3 linked regions of the Saccharomyces cerevisiae S288C genome follow. Each later gene encodes a partner of the first gene's protein in a complex. Each region holds a gene or a part of one and is shown on either strand. Other genes may lie near its edges. A codon is read from its position in the direction of its gene.

What was found. Proteins that work in one complex are often made in the same cells at the same time.
Region 2: the proteins of NRD1 (region 1) and SEN1 are in contact, whole or in part, in an NMR structure (PDB 6GC3), measured with the Saccharomyces cerevisiae proteins. Residues at the interface, in NP_014148.1 of Saccharomyces cerevisiae: Asp19 (codon at 1,770), Leu20 (codon at 1,773), Lys21 (codon at 1,776), Ser22 (codon at 1,779), Ile24 (codon at 1,785), Ser25 (codon at 1,788), Gly26 (codon at 1,791), Ser27 (codon at 1,794), Arg28 (codon at 1,797), Lys30 (codon at 1,803), Tyr67 (codon at 1,914), Asp70 (codon at 1,923), Ser71 (codon at 1,926), Arg74 (codon at 1,935), Lys123 (codon at 2,082), Met126 (codon at 2,091), Leu127 (codon at 2,094), Ile130 (codon at 2,103), Arg133 (codon at 2,112); in NP_013534.3 of Saccharomyces cerevisiae: Asp2052, Asp2053, Asp2054, Glu2055, Asp2056, Asp2057, Tyr2058, Pro2060, Ser2061, Ile2062, Ser2063.
Region 3: the proteins of NRD1 (region 1) and PAP2 are in contact, whole or in part, in an NMR structure (PDB 2MOW), measured with the Saccharomyces cerevisiae proteins. Residues at the interface, in NP_014148.1 of Saccharomyces cerevisiae: Lys21 (codon at 1,776), Gly23 (codon at 1,782), Ile24 (codon at 1,785), Ser25 (codon at 1,788), Gly26 (codon at 1,791), Arg28 (codon at 1,797), Ile29 (codon at 1,800), Lys30 (codon at 1,803), Tyr67 (codon at 1,914), Asp70 (codon at 1,923), Ser71 (codon at 1,926), Arg74 (codon at 1,935), Met126 (codon at 2,091), Leu127 (codon at 2,094), Ile130 (codon at 2,103), Arg133 (codon at 2,112); in NP_014526.1 of Saccharomyces cerevisiae: Asp573 (codon at 3,368), Asp575 (codon at 3,374), Glu576 (codon at 3,377), Asp577 (codon at 3,380), Gly578 (codon at 3,383), Tyr579 (codon at 3,386), Asn580 (codon at 3,389), Pro581 (codon at 3,392), Tyr582 (codon at 3,395), Thr583 (codon at 3,398), Leu584 (codon at 3,401).

What each region holds. Positions count from the first base shown.
Region 1 is NC_001146.8:171,760-176,030, reverse strand, and holds NRD1 (Nrd1 complex RNA-binding subunit), read left to right. Parts: upstream 1-1,715; coding exon 1,716-3,443; downstream 3,444-4,271. Other genes in the region: RAD50 (MRX complex DNA-binding subunit), read right to left, coding at 1-621; mitochondrial 54S ribosomal protein mL46 MRPL17, read left to right, coding at 3,745-4,271. UniProt on the Saccharomyces cerevisiae protein: Plays a role in sequence-specific regulation of nuclear pre-mRNA abundance.
Region 2 is NC_001144.5:991,583-999,433, reverse strand, and holds the start of SEN1 (DNA/RNA helicase SEN1), read right to left. Parts: upstream 6,001-7,851; coding exon 1-6,000. Other genes in the region: CRN1 (coronin), read right to left, coding at 6,702-7,851. UniProt on the Saccharomyces cerevisiae protein: ATP-dependent 5'->3' DNA/RNA helicase required for the expression and maturation of diverse classes of non-protein-coding RNAs like precursor tRNAs, rRNAs and small nuclear (snRNA) and nucleolar (snoRNA) RNAs.
Region 3 is NC_001147.6:99,824-103,729, forward strand, and holds PAP2 (non-canonical poly(A) polymerase PAP2), read left to right. Parts: upstream 1-1,651; coding exon 1,652-3,406; downstream 3,407-3,906. Other genes in the region: MSN1 (Msn1p), read left to right, coding at 1-1,134; PTH4 (Pth4p), read right to left, coding at 3,494-3,906. UniProt on the Saccharomyces cerevisiae protein: Catalytic subunit of the TRAMP complex which has a poly(A) RNA polymerase activity and is involved in a post-transcriptional quality control mechanism limiting inappropriate expression of genetic information.

The DNA of each region.
Region 1 (4,271 bases):
TTGCTTTAATAACTTGATATCCACGGACATGTCTTTCTTTATGGATTTTAAATTGTCTAGAGCCTTTGTAAATTTCATCGCTTGGAAAATTTCATCAAACTTCTTTTTAAGATTGGATGGTTCACTCAGTGGCCACAGGCTGTCTTCTTGGTGACAGAATATCACGTATTCCAAGATCGCTTTTGGAACTCCCAGATACAGGGGTACTTGTGCGTCTAATTCCAGAGACCGGGTGGACAAAGTACTGCGGTCACCACTATTATTTATAGCGACCAACTGGCCTTCTAAAGTCTTAAATGTAGTAGTAGTCTTTTTCATTAGCAACTGAATATTTCTGGTGACAATCATATTGAGTCCATTGGCACTCGTAAACGCCAGTTTGACCTGAGCTCTAATGTCCTTTTCACCAGTTATCTTCGGGTCATGAATGAATACTCCTCCCTTGCTGTTGGGCGGTAGATCACCTGTGGTAGCGTACTTTAAACATTCGATGATAGTCGTTTTACCTGAACCATTCATGCCGACTATTAAAGTCAGAGGCTTGCCAAATTCAATAGTTTCCCTATCATTGGAGTCAAAAGACCGTATGCCCTGAATAGATAATTTATAGATAGCGCTCATGCCTGCTTTCCGTCGTTCCCTTGTTTTTGCCTCTCAATGGTTGCTACCACTTCTTAGAATTAAAGATTTCCATTTAAAGATCAAAGCTTGAAAGCCGCTTTAGAAGCGATGAGGCAAGAACAAAGGCAACAAACAGGGACAAGATGAAAACCGGAACCTTATCTCAGATGAAGACAAACGAGGTGAAGGCATTTTTTTTTTTTGACTAAGTTAGATTAATATTTGCATTGTCATATGGGTGGGTTCTACTGCAGTTACTAGCGCACGAGACAAGGCAAAGCCGTGAAAGTATTGCAAGATGCATGGTTATTATTCTCCGAAAATAATAAGTGAAGGATTGTAACATTACCGCAAGTATTAGTATTGTAAGTGGAAGTACTATCGGTTTCTTGTTTCAATGAATAGCACCAGAAACGCAAAAAATCTACAATTAGTTTATGGTCGAAATGAGCTACTGCGCACGTATAGCGCATTGTTTCCTATTCTACTAAAGTCCGCAATACATAATTCTATCGAGTACTCAAAAACATTATGCTTTTGATGGCTTGTTAGATATCCTTATGACCACTAACCTGAAATTGAGCAAATTCATTGGAAAGTCGGCGGCAAAAATAAATGTTTCGTCTTTGGTGATTTATTGGTCATTACATACGGTACATTTTTGATTTTTTTTTTTGCCACCGGTCGGAGCGGAGGAGGTGAAAAAGAAAAAGTATAAAAGGGCAAGTGTTTCGTCCTTCCTCCATGTTCCATTCCTCGTTAGCATGACTCCCCGCTCCTTCCCTTTACGAGTTTCATGCTTTTAACATATCAAAAGTCAGTACTCGGCAACCTTATTGTATCGTTTTCGTATCGTATCGCATCGTATTATCGTATTGTACACAACTAACTCACCAATCAAGGCTCTTCTTACAATTAGTTACGTTACCGTATCCATTGCTACAACCTATAATTTCAAGCAAAAGAAAAATATACTATTGTCTATTTTTTTGTATTGTAGTTTTCTCTGATTACACATTTTTTCTAGTACTTTTCTCCAAGCACGAGTTACAGGAAAGGAACCGGAAAGCAACAAACATACTAAACATCCCATAATGCAGCAGGACGACGATTTTCAAAATTTTGTAGCTACCTTGGAATCATTCAAAGATTTGAAATCTGGTATTTCAGGTTCTCGTATTAAGAAACTAACCACTTACGCACTTGATCACATTGATATTGAATCGAAAATCATATCTTTGATAATAGACTACTCAAGACTTTGTCCCGATTCTCATAAATTAGGTTCTTTATATATCATCGATTCAATAGGTAGAGCTTACTTGGATGAAACAAGATCAAATTCAAACAGCAGCAGCAACAAACCCGGTACTTGTGCCCATGCCATAAACACGTTGGGCGAAGTAATTCAAGAACTGCTATCCGATGCTATTGCAAAAAGTAATCAAGACCACAAGGAAAAAATTCGTATGCTTTTAGACATTTGGGACAGGTCCGGCTTGTTTCAAAAGAGTTACTTGAACGCCATCAGGTCAAAATGCTTTGCTATGGACATATCGAATAACACCGCGAACACCGCTTCACAACAACTATCACTGGATCCCAAGCAGAGGTCGAAACAAATCTTGTCAAATCTAAAGAAAAGTCCTCCTTTAAACTTGAACATAAGTCTTCCAACTGATTTGACTTCCACAGATCCAGCCAAACAGCAAGCAGCTCTTTTCCAAGTAATAGCGGCTCTGCAGAAACATTTTAAAACTTTGCCTTCACATACATCCGTGGGTACAGTCGCACCTCCCCAAGCCCATACAATTACCGAATATGGTAGCAGACGTGAACGTGAACGTGAAAGAGAAAGATATAACTCAAGAAGGAATAGATCAAGATCTCCTCCGGCACCATTTTCTCAGCCATCGACAGGCAGGAAGGACCGCTATCCATCTGTGGCCCAGGACCAATACAGCATAGGCGCCCCCAATACGACATTTGGCACAAACAATCACCACTTATACCCCGATGAGCTTAATGTTTCCAATAATCCTCATTATAGACCAAAACCAGTAAGTTACGACTCTACATTGCCACCAGATCATATTAAAGTCTACAGCCGTACTCTTTTCATCGGTGGGGTACCACTAAACATGAAGGAATGGGACCTTGCTAACGTTTTAAAACCTTTTGCTGAAGTACAAAGCGTCATTCTGAATAACTCCAGAAAACACGCTTTTGTGAAAGTTTATTCAAGACATGAGGCCGAAAATGTTTTGCAAAACTTCAATAAAGATGGAGCCCTGCCATTGAGAACTAGGTGGGGAGTTGGTTTTGGTCCAAGAGATTGTTGTGACTATCAACACGGTTACAGTATTATTCCTATGCACAGGCTCACGGACGCTGATAAAAAATGGTCAGTAAGTGCGCAATGGGGTGGCACTTCTGGTCAACCTCTCGTTACCGGTATTGTTTTCGAAGAACCGGATATTATCGTTGGTGAAGGTGTTTCTTCCAAGGCAATATCTCAAAAGATGCCTACTGATTCTGGCAGAAATGGGCCACGTTCTGGTAAACCTAACAAATCTGGTAGCATATCGTCGATATCTCCAGTACCCTACGGCAATGCACCATTGGCATCTCCTCCACCACAGCAATATGTGCAACCTATGATGCAGCAACCGTATGGTTATGCCCCCAACCAACCATTACCTTCTCAGGGACCTGCCGCAGCGGCTCCCCCTGTACCTCAGCAACAATTTGACCCCACTGCTCAATTGAATTCTTTGATGAATATGCTTAACCAACAGCAGCAGCAACAACAACAAAGCTAAGATCTTTACTCCACCCTTTATTTGCTCATAGTACATAAAACTAATCTACCTCTATATATAATTTCTGTTTTTTCCTATGTTCCTTTTTTTTTTTTGTTAAATGGACATCCTTATGTATTCACATAACTACTGTGTTTCAAATGTAGCATTATCCTATTCTTTATTCTCTTTTTTTACCGTATTCCTGGTTTTTTTTCAAGGTTTAGATGAAAATGAAAATGAAAAAAAAAAAAGGAAAGAAAACAGTTAAACAATCAATAAACTTTATATTCTACGTAATCATAAGCGCTTATCCAGTACCATGAAGGTAAATTTAATGTTGAAAAGAGGGCTTGCTACTGCAACTGCAACTGCCAGTTCCGCTCCCCCCAAGATTAAAGTCGGAGTACTACTGTCAAGAATCCCTATAATTAAATCAGAATTAAATGAACTAGAGAAAAAATACTATGAGTACCAATCAGAACTAGAAAAGAGACTAATGTGGACGTTTCCGGCATATTTTTATTTCAAAAAGGGTACTGTAGCAGAACACAAATTTCTATCCCTGCAGAAAGGACCTATCTCCAAAAAAAATGGCATTTGGTTTCCTAGAGGCATACCGGACATTAAACATGGCAGAGAAAGAAGTACTAAGCAAGAAGTTAAACTTTCTGATGACAGTACAGTAGCATTTAGCAACAATCAAAAAGAGCAAAGCAAAGACGATGTTAATAGGCCCGTGATTCCCAACGACAGGATAACGGAAGCAGATAGGTCAAATGATATGAAGAGCCTTGAAAGACAATTGAGCAGGACCTTATATCTTTTGGTTAAGGATAAAAGCGGTAC
Region 2 (7,851 bases), on another chromosome or scaffold:
GTGTTTGTTATTTTTCTTTTTACCAACAACTGCTGCTGCCTTTTTGTTGCTGTCCACATCAGGAAAAGTTTTAGGAACTACGGCACTCGGTACACTCATTCCACCAAAAATGGATGACTTTTTCTTTGTACCAGATGAGGTGCTGGGCGATTCTGCCTTCTTGTTATTCTTTTTCTTATCATCTGCCTTGGACTTTTTCTTTTCCTTCTTCTTCTCTTTCTTCTTTTTCTTTACAGCTTTATCTGCCTCTTCACCTTCATCGACAACTCTTCTCTTCTTTGTGTCCTTATTGGATTTTACCTCATCGGGGCCTTGCGTAATATATTCCATGGGTAGCTTATAATCATCTTCTTGCTCTGATGGTACGGGTACATTGAACTTTCTTAAAATACTTTGAGCTCTATTATTTCTGGGATCCAGGAAACCCGAGCAAGCATATGCAAGACAACTTCTATCTTTTGCATCTTCAATCAAATCTCTCCATAACTTGCTTTTAGCCAGAGACCTTTGATGTCCCAAAACCCAAATACTTGTCTTGGCTCTAGTCAGAGCCACATTCATACGACGAAAGTCCTTTAAAAAACCGACACTAGATTTCGTATCATCGGCACGGACACACGATATCAAGATGATTTCTTTTTCTTGACCTTGGAAACCGTCGATTGTATTGAAATCGATTGATTTGTTGATCATGCCTCCAAAATAGCGGGCAAACTCTTTACGCATTTTTTGCATTTGCTCTCTATAAGGTGAAATTATACCGATTTTTCCCGTGAAATCAATTTTATTATCGAATTTTCTGAAAAGGTAGTCAACTAACTCAATGGCAACACGTATTTCCTCCATATTTGTATAAGACATAGTCTTCGCATTTTGTTCTTGCCTACCACTAATGATGTCAAAAAATTTGTAGGGAGCTAATGGCTCAAGCTGGTGCCAGGGTCTTTTGTTCAAGATATCCATACCAGGGCCGTCTTTTAGTCGTCCCTGATAAAATTCAGAAGAGGGGAATTTACTGATGGAAGGATGCATACGGTATTGAACATCCAGCAAGTATGGGGAGCTATTTTTCTCCATTCTAACGAACAGTGACTGATTGTATTTAAAATTGCTTGCTGCACCTGAAAGAACAGTTGGTGGTAGTTGGTTAGGATCACCAACCATAATACAACGCTTCCCTCCATACCTGAGAGGAATAATTGAAGAAAGTTCGGTACATTGACATGCTTCATCTATAATGACCGTATCAAATTTAATACCCATTGTTGCGAGTACATCATGGGCTGAACCAGATAAAGTCGAACATATGATGTCACTAACCGCCAAGATATGGGCCTGTGCATTCCTTCTATCCAAATCCCTATTCCTATAATTTACGGAATTCTTCTCACGCATTTCGTCCCTATCACGGCCAAGTTCATTGATTATTTTACTTAGCTCCCTAATCTTAAGTTGTAATTTACTGATATCTTCGGTTGACATTGGACTTTCTGGATTACCACTCTCAGAGTCTAATTTTCCTCTCAATTCTCTTCTTTTAGTCACAGCATTATTAAATTTACGTTCTAGTTCCGGATCTGTTCTGATTTCGTAATTCCTTTCACCTATCCTTTTATCCACAAGTTCTTCTAAAGTAAGGTCCTTAATTGCAACGTTTACAACGTCTGACCTACCTACACGGACCAATTGAGGTTTAAATTGATGCCCCTGCTTGTCATACACTCCACTCTTCAGTCTGAGGCAGATTTCGTCCACAGCGGCATTACTGGGGGCACAGATTAGAATTTTTTGCTTTTTTAACAGTTGTTCAGTATTCGATGAGTTCTTTTCTAGTGGCACTTTGATGACATTTGAAGATGAGGCATTCTTTGTAGACAAAAAGTAACCAATAATACCCAGTATAGTCTTTGTTTTACCCGTACCAGGTGGACCCTGAATTAAAGAAAAACCTTCTTTAGATACCGAATTAACGATGGCCTCAGCCTGCGACGTATTGAGCTTATAGCTTTTCTTAACTGTTTCAATTTCTGCCGCATCCACATTTACGGGAGGCGATGGTTTAGCCTGTAGAATTTGGCCAACTAAGTCATAGTATTCCAGCCCTTCCAGTGTTGAATACTCTCTTTCAATAGTCGTCATTTGCATAACCTTCACACAATATATCTCTGATCTTAGTGTCAAAAATTTACTGAAAGAATGATTTCTATGAATTCGTAATGTGACATCAACATTACCACCTTTGGTATTTTTCAATGTTCTCACCTTTGCTAAACATGTATGTTGTGCTTTCTTGAAATCATCACTGGACAACCTTTTGTCTGGTCGAAAATCGGGTAAATAAGCCATTACAATTAAGTCAGATTCAGAAATACCACAATCCTGTATGACTTGTTTAGCGACAGAGGCATACACATCATAGAAATCTGACACAGCAGTTCGATTTCCTACAATAATACTGAAAGGTTTATAGTCCTCTCTATCACGTGAAGAACATAGACCTTGCCAAGATTCTAGAAGTAGTAAAGGCTTCATGACTTTTTGGTAGTCAGCAGGAGAGTTGAAGAAATCCTTTACGTCAGAATAATTACCAATAGGCTCATCATCAGGATATTCACTATTTCTGGTGTAATCCCATTGCAATATGATTTCATATAGAGGGTTCATATCAACATTTAATCTCTTTCTCATATGTTCTAACTCCTGTTTAGCCAATTCAGCCGCAGTTTGTCTCTTGACAACCTTACCATTAATATCGACAGTTTGTATTCCTTTGCCTTTTGCCTTAGCAATAGCAAAAAGCTCCCGAGCGCTTTCTATATCGTTGTCACTCTCCTCACTACTGCTATCGTCGTTTTTGTTAGACAAACCCCTACTCTTTGTATGGAAAGCTGGCGCACTAGGTGGATGAACAACTCTGTTGTTTAATAATTGCATCCTAGCTAATTCCATTTTGGATAAAGGCTTAACAGGTTTTGTACGATGCAGTTTAGCATTAGCTGATGATTGGAACGTACCAAAAGATGTTATTTTAGGCTGAGCTACTCTTGGTCTCCCAGTTATTGAAGAAGATAAAGCTTTTCTTTGTAAATAGTCTGCCCTGGATTCAGCAGAAGAACTAGCAATGGTTGAAGACAGAGAGGGCGAGAGGGATGGTGACGCCGGCACAGAATCCGTTAAGTCGATCACCTTCCCAAGTCTTGATAATTCCTTTTCTTTTCTGTAGTTTTCAGCTTCTGTAGCGACCTCTTCCGTGAGTGCTTTATTGAATATTTTAGCCTTTTGTAGAATCTCACTCGCCTGTTGCTCCGTCAACTTATTTGAAAATCTCTTTGCCTTCGAGGCGTACTTGGCCATCATTTCTACCAAGGAATCATCCACTTTCACATGCTTTTCATGTGCTAAATCAGACGTGCTTATAATTAATCTAACACAAGATTCCAAAAGTACTTCGTCGCTCAATCTCAGCCAATACAACATATTCTTAAAGGTTTCTAAAACGTTGAGAAGTAAATTTTTCGTTTGGTCATGAAGAATATCTGAAAATTCTCTAAAGGAGTCCACCAAAGAGCGACTTAGATCTAAAGTATCTTTGGTGAAATTTTCCAGTTCAGAATAGTCATATTTAGAAGCCCATTTCAAAGTAAACTTATAAATCGTATCCAAGAATAACCAACATGATTCCCAGAATTTTAAAAATTCCTTTTCGGTATTTTGGCTCTTCAAAGTTTGGAAATTAGCAAACACACCAGAAATCGGGTCTACAAATGCACTCACTACGTCCATCAAAACACGAACAGCACGGGGGCAAGGCTCATAGAATTCACAATTGATTAATCTTTGTAGCATCACGTTTATATTCTTCAAGTTAACGGTCAAATTACTATTCAGAATCGCTAAGATACCTTCCAGTCTACCCTCAACGTCAAATGTATTGTATAAAATATTAGTAGCTGCTTGATACAAGTGTTTATCAGAGGAGAATATGCAGGACCAAAAACCCTGCGATGCATCTTCATCCGCAAGGATTTTAGACAGTTGACCGGGCAAAATATCCGCAAATTTTTCCATTAATCTCGTTGATAGCAGCAAAAACTTCTGATTCAATGCGTTGTGTGCCTCAGCTACGGCAGTATTTGACGGTACTATCAAAAGACCATTAATATTTTTTAAAGATACTAGCAGCTGTTTGGCCAGCAATGGACCGTCATGAAAAGATCTCAGGTCAATTTTATTTGTAACATTTTCCAAGACGTTGGTTGAAATTGGAATTTCGCTAATTGGTTTACCTGAATAAAGCTTAAACGTTCGATGACATAATAACAGTATATCAAAATCGATACATTCTGCCAATACCATCATCGTGGATGTGGCCACCGATGCAGAAGCAGCACCTAGCCCAGGATAAAAGTCGTTAGGATTCGAAGCTGATCTAATTATTATGTCTTGGATCAAAGGATTGTTGAGCAAAGCTCTAGAATCTGTTTTAGTCAACAGTACTGTTTCAAATTCATCATTCTTATAAAGCATTGCCCTTTCATTTTCCTTAATAGTCAACACAGCCCTCAACAAGGCAGTTGCTGAATTCATTAAACAAGCTTTGGGAATGGATTTTAGGGATGGATAATTGGCTATTATACGCAGGAACGCCATTGAGACCTTTCTAACCATTTGAATTCTTTTGGATGGTGACAGTGCATGATAAAATGGTAAGGTCCAAGAAAGTAAATCGGTTACAGAACCGGTAAGTTGAAAGTAAACTTCTGTTTGATGCTCAACAATTGGATTGTCTTGAATTTTGATTAGTTTGATTGGGAATGAATCTCTATTGAAAATTATATCCAAAATGCTATGGAATGTGAAGGGTTCAATTTTGGACCAAAACTCGGAGCCAAATTTATTCAAGAACATTGTTAATCCTCTTAACAAAAAGTCTAGTGGCTTATCATGATATGATTTGCTTAAGTGATTGTACCACATTTTAAAAATTGGCTCTAACGGAAATTTGAATGTTTTTTTTAAAGATTCCACATTTTTTGGGACCTGAAAGTACTCTATGAAGACGTCTTTATCAAATAAATTGAAAACCGGTAGTAATCTCGACCAGAATTGAGATACCACAATCTCTGTCCAGTTTGCCGGATTCTGTAAGAATAAAATATGGATATAAACTTCCTCAATAATATCCGGTGTCAGGTTAGAAAGATTTATATGGAAATTTCTTGAGTATAAATCCTTTAGAAAAGCTCGTGACCACTCATTTTCCTCTTTTGAACCTTCACACCAGCAAAATATGACACCTGATATAAAGGTTTTTATGCTTAATGGATTCGTAACGTCCAACAAACGATGCTTTGTGTCGTAGAAAAATTTGAAGATTGCTTCGAAAGTAGCCTTAAGTTGCTTGTTAAGCCTCAACATATGCGGATTACAGAGACACTCGTACATTGCAGTTTCAATTTCATTTGTAATGTTAATTCCCGTATTATCGTTAACGGAAATATTTCTAAGAATAGGAAAAACAGCCTCCACCCTCCATTGGCATACGATGTCATTAAACTTGGCTACATGTTCATGCGGCACATGTCTTTGAATGGCAAAATGTTGTAACATTTTGCACTTCCCTCTCGCAAAATTTAGAATGCATTTATCACAAACAGAGAGAATTGGATTAAAATGATTCTTCAGCCATGTGGCCGTAGCTTCTTCATTGAATGAGAAAATGGTTAGGGAAAAAATTGATATTGGTTCAAGTATGGGGTCGCAAAATAAATGCGTACCCTTGGGAACTTCTGCTAGAACTTGTAATAACTCCCCTAATAATTTTGCCTCTTGAATATTTGGATTTGTGCCTTGATAAACTTGTTCAATCTGAGGAATGTAAGACTTTGCCTTGGTATAGACGGTAGCTAGCTGAACATCGCTATTGGGGGCAATATCCTTATCCTTATTATTATTATTAATGTTGTTGCTATTATTATTATCAGGATTGTTGGAATTCATTTATAATAAACAGATGCGCTTTTTTATATATATAGAGATAGATGCCATACAGAGATGAAGTAGAAAATAAATGACAAAGTAGAGCTTTTTTGTAGGTGTAGATGATAAGATTAAAGTGCGGGAAGCCTTTAAAGTGATCGATTATTCGTTCCTATGAAGCTTCGTAAACTTTTCTAGTAGGTTAATATGCAGGAGAAATGACCTACACTAGAGAAGAATGAGAAAATGAAAGCTCTATAACTTTGAAACAAAAGGAATAAAGTTGCAAACGTGCACCTACAAAATAAACCTAACCAATGACCTTTTGTTAGAATTCCTGATCTCATCAACTTCTAACTTGTGGTTAATTTTTCAAGATCCTAAAATATGCGAAGAAAAATATAAATAAAAATTCATTCAGGGTTACCTTTACTATGTAACGCGTTTTAACTAAAAGAAAGACTTATTTATGCTTGCATAAAACTATATGATGAGGACAATTATACATTGGTCACATAACGCTTAGTGTTTTGTCAAAAACATTCTTTTTCCTGTGGGAAAGCAACATTTTGTTTCCTTTTTTGTTAGTGGACAGGTGAACATGATTCACTTTCTAAGTGCATTATTATCGCCGCCGTCTTATGTACATTACATATAATCAAAATACATCTTTCCTATAAAAAGGACTCACTTAATTTTATCATTAAAAGTACAAAAAATTTTCATTTTGACAGTTCGCCAATTTTTTGTTCCAACTTTAACAGGCGCTCATCTTTGTCAAGATTTGCTTTCGTTAATTTATCAACTACATCTTCTAATTGCAGAACCAATGTAGATAGTTTTTCGACAGACTTTTTTAAACCCAATGACTTAGGTGATGTCCTTGCCGCGGATGGCTCTTCCTTACTGCTGGCAGTAATGGCTGTCTTAGCAGCCGTAATTGAAGAAGGAGGTGTTGCGGATTTTTCCTGCTCAGGGGACTTTGTTTTCTCAGAGGACTTCTCTTCTTGAGGTAAGCTTTGCTCCTGTTTTCTATCTGTTGCGATAGACACTGGCTCTGGCTTCAATTCTTTTGAAGGTTCGACCTTAGGTGTGCGATCCTTTTTAGTTTCTGTTGGAGTGACTGGGGTTTCGATTTTGATAGGAGCTGGCTCATCATCGGCTTCTTCCCATCCGGAGGTATCCCTAGACGGATCTTCGGCGTTGTTAACTTGATCAATATCGGAGGATTTCTTCAACAACTTGTTGATCGAATTATCTTCCTTTAATACATGGTTGATTGTAGAAGATGAGGAGGCCGACTTTAGCGGTGAGGGAGATTTTGGAGCTTCTTGTTTCACCTCCTTTTCGGATTCGCTGATTGGCTTCTCCACTTTAGGCTGCTCCTTTTTCTCTTCAAGAGCTGTTTCTTGAGTTGTTGGCTGTTGAGGTCTTTTAGCCTCATGAAAGCTTGGTGCGGAACCGTCATAGATAGATCTCATACTAACGAGAATTGGACCTTCAACAGACTTGCCAGAAAACCACTCTTCAGCAGTTAAAGCTGGCTTATTGGAAGGTGCATCCGGGTAGATATCTTCTTGGAACTCCTCTGATCTCCTTGGAACAAAGAAAGATACCGGTTCGATACGCTGATCAACGACAGTCTTGAAACCTTTTAAGACTTCGTTTTCTTTGACGTTCACCATTCGCTTAGGCGCTACAGCAAAGCCTCTCTGTGCTTCTGTGGATTGGAATTCAGACAACTCAAACAGCTCGTCGTTTTGAAATTCGTAGTATCGAATATTACCATCACCTTTCCCCACCAAGTAAAGAATCTTATTCCCTTCGTCATAAAAGGGCATCAAAATACCTGATGATTGGTCGACAGTGTAG
Region 3 (3,906 bases), on another chromosome or scaffold:
CACATAGGAGCTTCAAACCTAAATGAGAATGAGGCTATATTAACCAACCGCGTTGCTGAGCTGGAAAGGCGTATGTCGATGTTTGAGGGTATATTTCACGCGTTAAGTAACCGTCTCGATCTTCACTTTAAAAAATATGATGTAGTGGTAAACTCCCAACAGCAACAAATCAACGAACTGACCGCGTTTTTATCAACATTGCTGAATGACCAACAACGCCACGCTGAAATTCTCAGTGAAAAATTAAGCGGAACGTTGCATGGGGTGTCAGCTACGTCAATATCCTTAAGCCAAACTCTTGACCCACAAGGCTTCACTGATGGAACTACGGCACCAGGAGCTCCTAGGAATTATACTTCAGTGCCTATGAATAATGATCAAACTGCTCATCCGCAAAATGAAGGAGCTGTTAGTAATGAAACACTTTTTGAGGACATTTTGAATGGAAATTCACAAGAAAATGATAAGAGTCAACAACAAACTAACAGCTCAAATTCTATAAGCCAAGAAAATAATAGCACCAACCCTTCAGTGGACACTCGGTTCAACAAGCCGCAAAATTATAATTCCAATTTAGTCCCATCCTTGGAAGAGTATTCAGCAAATCCACCTAACAATGATGGTGGCCAAAGTCAAGGACTGTACATAAGCAGCAACTCTTCTCAATCACGGCAGTCTCCTAATCTCCAGAAAGTTTCTCCTAACCATGAAAATGCGGTTGAATCAAATGCACAAGAGAGCGTGCCGACATTTGAGGAGGAACAGTATGAGACTAAAACAGGATTGAAACGGAAACGAATAGTCTGCACAAGACCCTTCGAATTTATCAAGTCACCACACTCTGTGATGGAGGTTTGGAAGGAGTATACAGAAGGTGTTAACGGGCAGCCTTCTATAAGGAAAATGGAAGCTCTTTATCAAACGGCATGGAGGCGAGATCCAGCAGTAAATAAAAGATATTCGAGAAGAAAGGTTCTTTGGAAAGCCATTCAAACTGGCCTTAATCGTGGGTATTCATTAAACTATGTTGTTGAAATATTAGAAAACTCAAGATATGTTAATGATAAACAGAAGGTTAAACAACCTATTGGTTGGTTATGCCACAGTTCTCATATTCCAGAGACTTTGAAGTGACATTTGCTTCTTGTGTATTCACCTTTATCCCAAATTAGCCCTTGTAACACTTATGCTTTTCTTAATAAATTAATAATTGGACTTTCCTTTAAAGTGGGTTGTATCTGTAACAATAATCTCTAATAATATCCTATAAAACTCAGAAGTCAGCCAACAACAATTGTATACGTATACATATCTATATAATATGCCTTGTACTTTACGCTCTTGAATTTAGAATAGCTGAACACCTAACTGAATTTAAGTAAAGGATCCCAAGCGTGAGATATTTAGGTTTACTCAGTTTTCTTATCTTGCCTTTTGATTATCACGTTGAGTGTCGAAGAAACCTGTATTCATCCTCGGCTTCTTGTATATGATTCTAAAATAATGTGTGAAAAAAAAAATAAAATAAAAAAAAGAGGAAAATAATATAGAATAACTATTAAGTTTCATTAAAAAAAAACCATTTGAATATACGACCAAAAACGTTACGCTTTCATAAAGTGTGAATAAGCAAGGGAACTATACTTGAAATATGGGGGCAAAGAGTGTAACAGCCTCTTCTTCAAAGAAGATTAAAAACCGGCATAATGGGAAAGTGAAAAAGAGCAAGAAAATCAAGAAAGTACGGAAACCACAGAAGTCTATATCCTTGAACGACGAAAACGAAGTAGAGATTTTACCTAGTCGTAATGAGCAAGAGACAAATAAATTACCTAAAGATCACGTCACGGCGGATGGAATTCTTGTATTAGAACATAAATCTGATGATGATGAAGGATTCGATGTCTACGATGGACATTTCGATAACCCTACTGATATTCCCTCGACTACTGAAGAAAGTAAAACGCCTTCATTAGCAGTGCACGGGGATGAGAAGGATCTTGCTAACAATGATGATTTTATCTCTCTTTCTGCTAGTTCTGAGGATGAGCAAGCCGAACAGGAAGAGGAGAGGGAGAAACAAGAATTAGAAATTAAAAAAGAAAAGCAAAAGGAAATCCTTAATACTGATTATCCATGGATTTTAAATCATGATCACTCCAAACAGAAAGAAATCTCGGACTGGCTAACCTTTGAAATCAAGGATTTTGTTGCCTATATCTCACCAAGTCGTGAAGAAATTGAAATTCGTAATCAAACCATAAGTACAATAAGAGAGGCTGTCAAACAGTTATGGCCAGATGCTGATTTGCACGTGTTTGGATCATATTCTACCGATTTGTATTTGCCTGGTTCCGATATTGATTGCGTGGTAACGAGCGAACTTGGTGGTAAGGAAAGTAGGAATAACTTGTATTCGTTAGCAAGCCATTTAAAAAAAAAAAATTTGGCAACAGAGGTTGAAGTTGTCGCCAAAGCTCGCGTTCCAATCATCAAGTTTGTTGAGCCACATTCAGGGATCCACATAGATGTTTCATTTGAGAGAACAAATGGTATTGAAGCAGCAAAGCTTATTAGAGAGTGGTTGGACGATACCCCCGGCCTGAGAGAATTAGTCCTTATCGTAAAACAATTCCTACACGCAAGAAGACTAAATAATGTGCATACCGGTGGTCTTGGTGGGTTTAGTATTATATGTCTTGTCTTTTCCTTTTTGCATATGCACCCACGTATAATAACTAACGAAATAGATCCAAAGGACAACTTGGGTGTGCTCCTGATAGAGTTTTTTGAACTTTATGGGAAAAATTTTGGTTATGATGATGTTGCACTGGGATCATCGGATGGATATCCAGTATACTTTCCAAAATCGACATGGAGTGCTATTCAGCCTATTAAAAATCCATTTTCATTGGCCATTCAAGATCCAGGTGATGAATCAAATAACATCAGTCGAGGGTCCTTTAACATTCGAGATATTAAAAAGGCATTTGCTGGTGCTTTTGATCTGTTGACGAATAGATGTTTTGAATTACATTCAGCAACTTTTAAGGATCGATTGGGGAAAAGTATATTGGGAAACGTGATCAAATATCGTGGAAAGGCAAGAGATTTCAAGGATGAAAGAGGTCTAGTACTGAATAAGGCTATTATTGAAAATGAAAACTATCACAAGAAACGTAGCAGAATAATTCATGATGAAGATTTTGCCGAAGATACAGTTACCTCCACAGCCACCGCTACCACAACAGATGATGATTATGAAATAACGAACCCACCTGCTAAGAAGGCTAAAATAGAAGAAAAACCTGAAAGTGAACCGGCCAAGAGAAATAGTGGAGAGACATATATCACTGTCTCTAGCGAAGATGATGATGAAGATGGATATAATCCTTATACCCTTTAATATGTGCCTTTTTGTTTAAATGATGCACTGAACTGTACATCACTGTGTACCTGGATAGAATGTGTGTTTAAATATGCGTATTATGTATTAATAATTGAATTTAATTTTACTTCTGTTTTTCTTTTTATCGCTGTGAACTTTTTTGTCAAGAAGTCGCTCTTTGTTGGCTTTCTCTTTTATTTTATTCCATTTCTTTGAGGTCTCAGCAGTGGTATCATTAGGAAATTGGCACGTTTGCCGAATTTCTTGAACCAACTTCTCGAAGCATTTTAATTTGTTGGTTTCCCTTGACCTAGTTTCATCAGATTGAATTACTATAGAATCGCTGCCCTTAGCGTAGTATCGAAACCTGCCGCTACTTAAGATGTTTCTCACTTCCTGAGGAATCCAAGCACAGTTTGATAAACCAGAAAGTGTCAAAGTACATTTACTATTTACCTTATTAACGTTTTGGCCTCCTGGCCCGCTGGCTCTATCGTAACGTAAAATAAATTGATTTA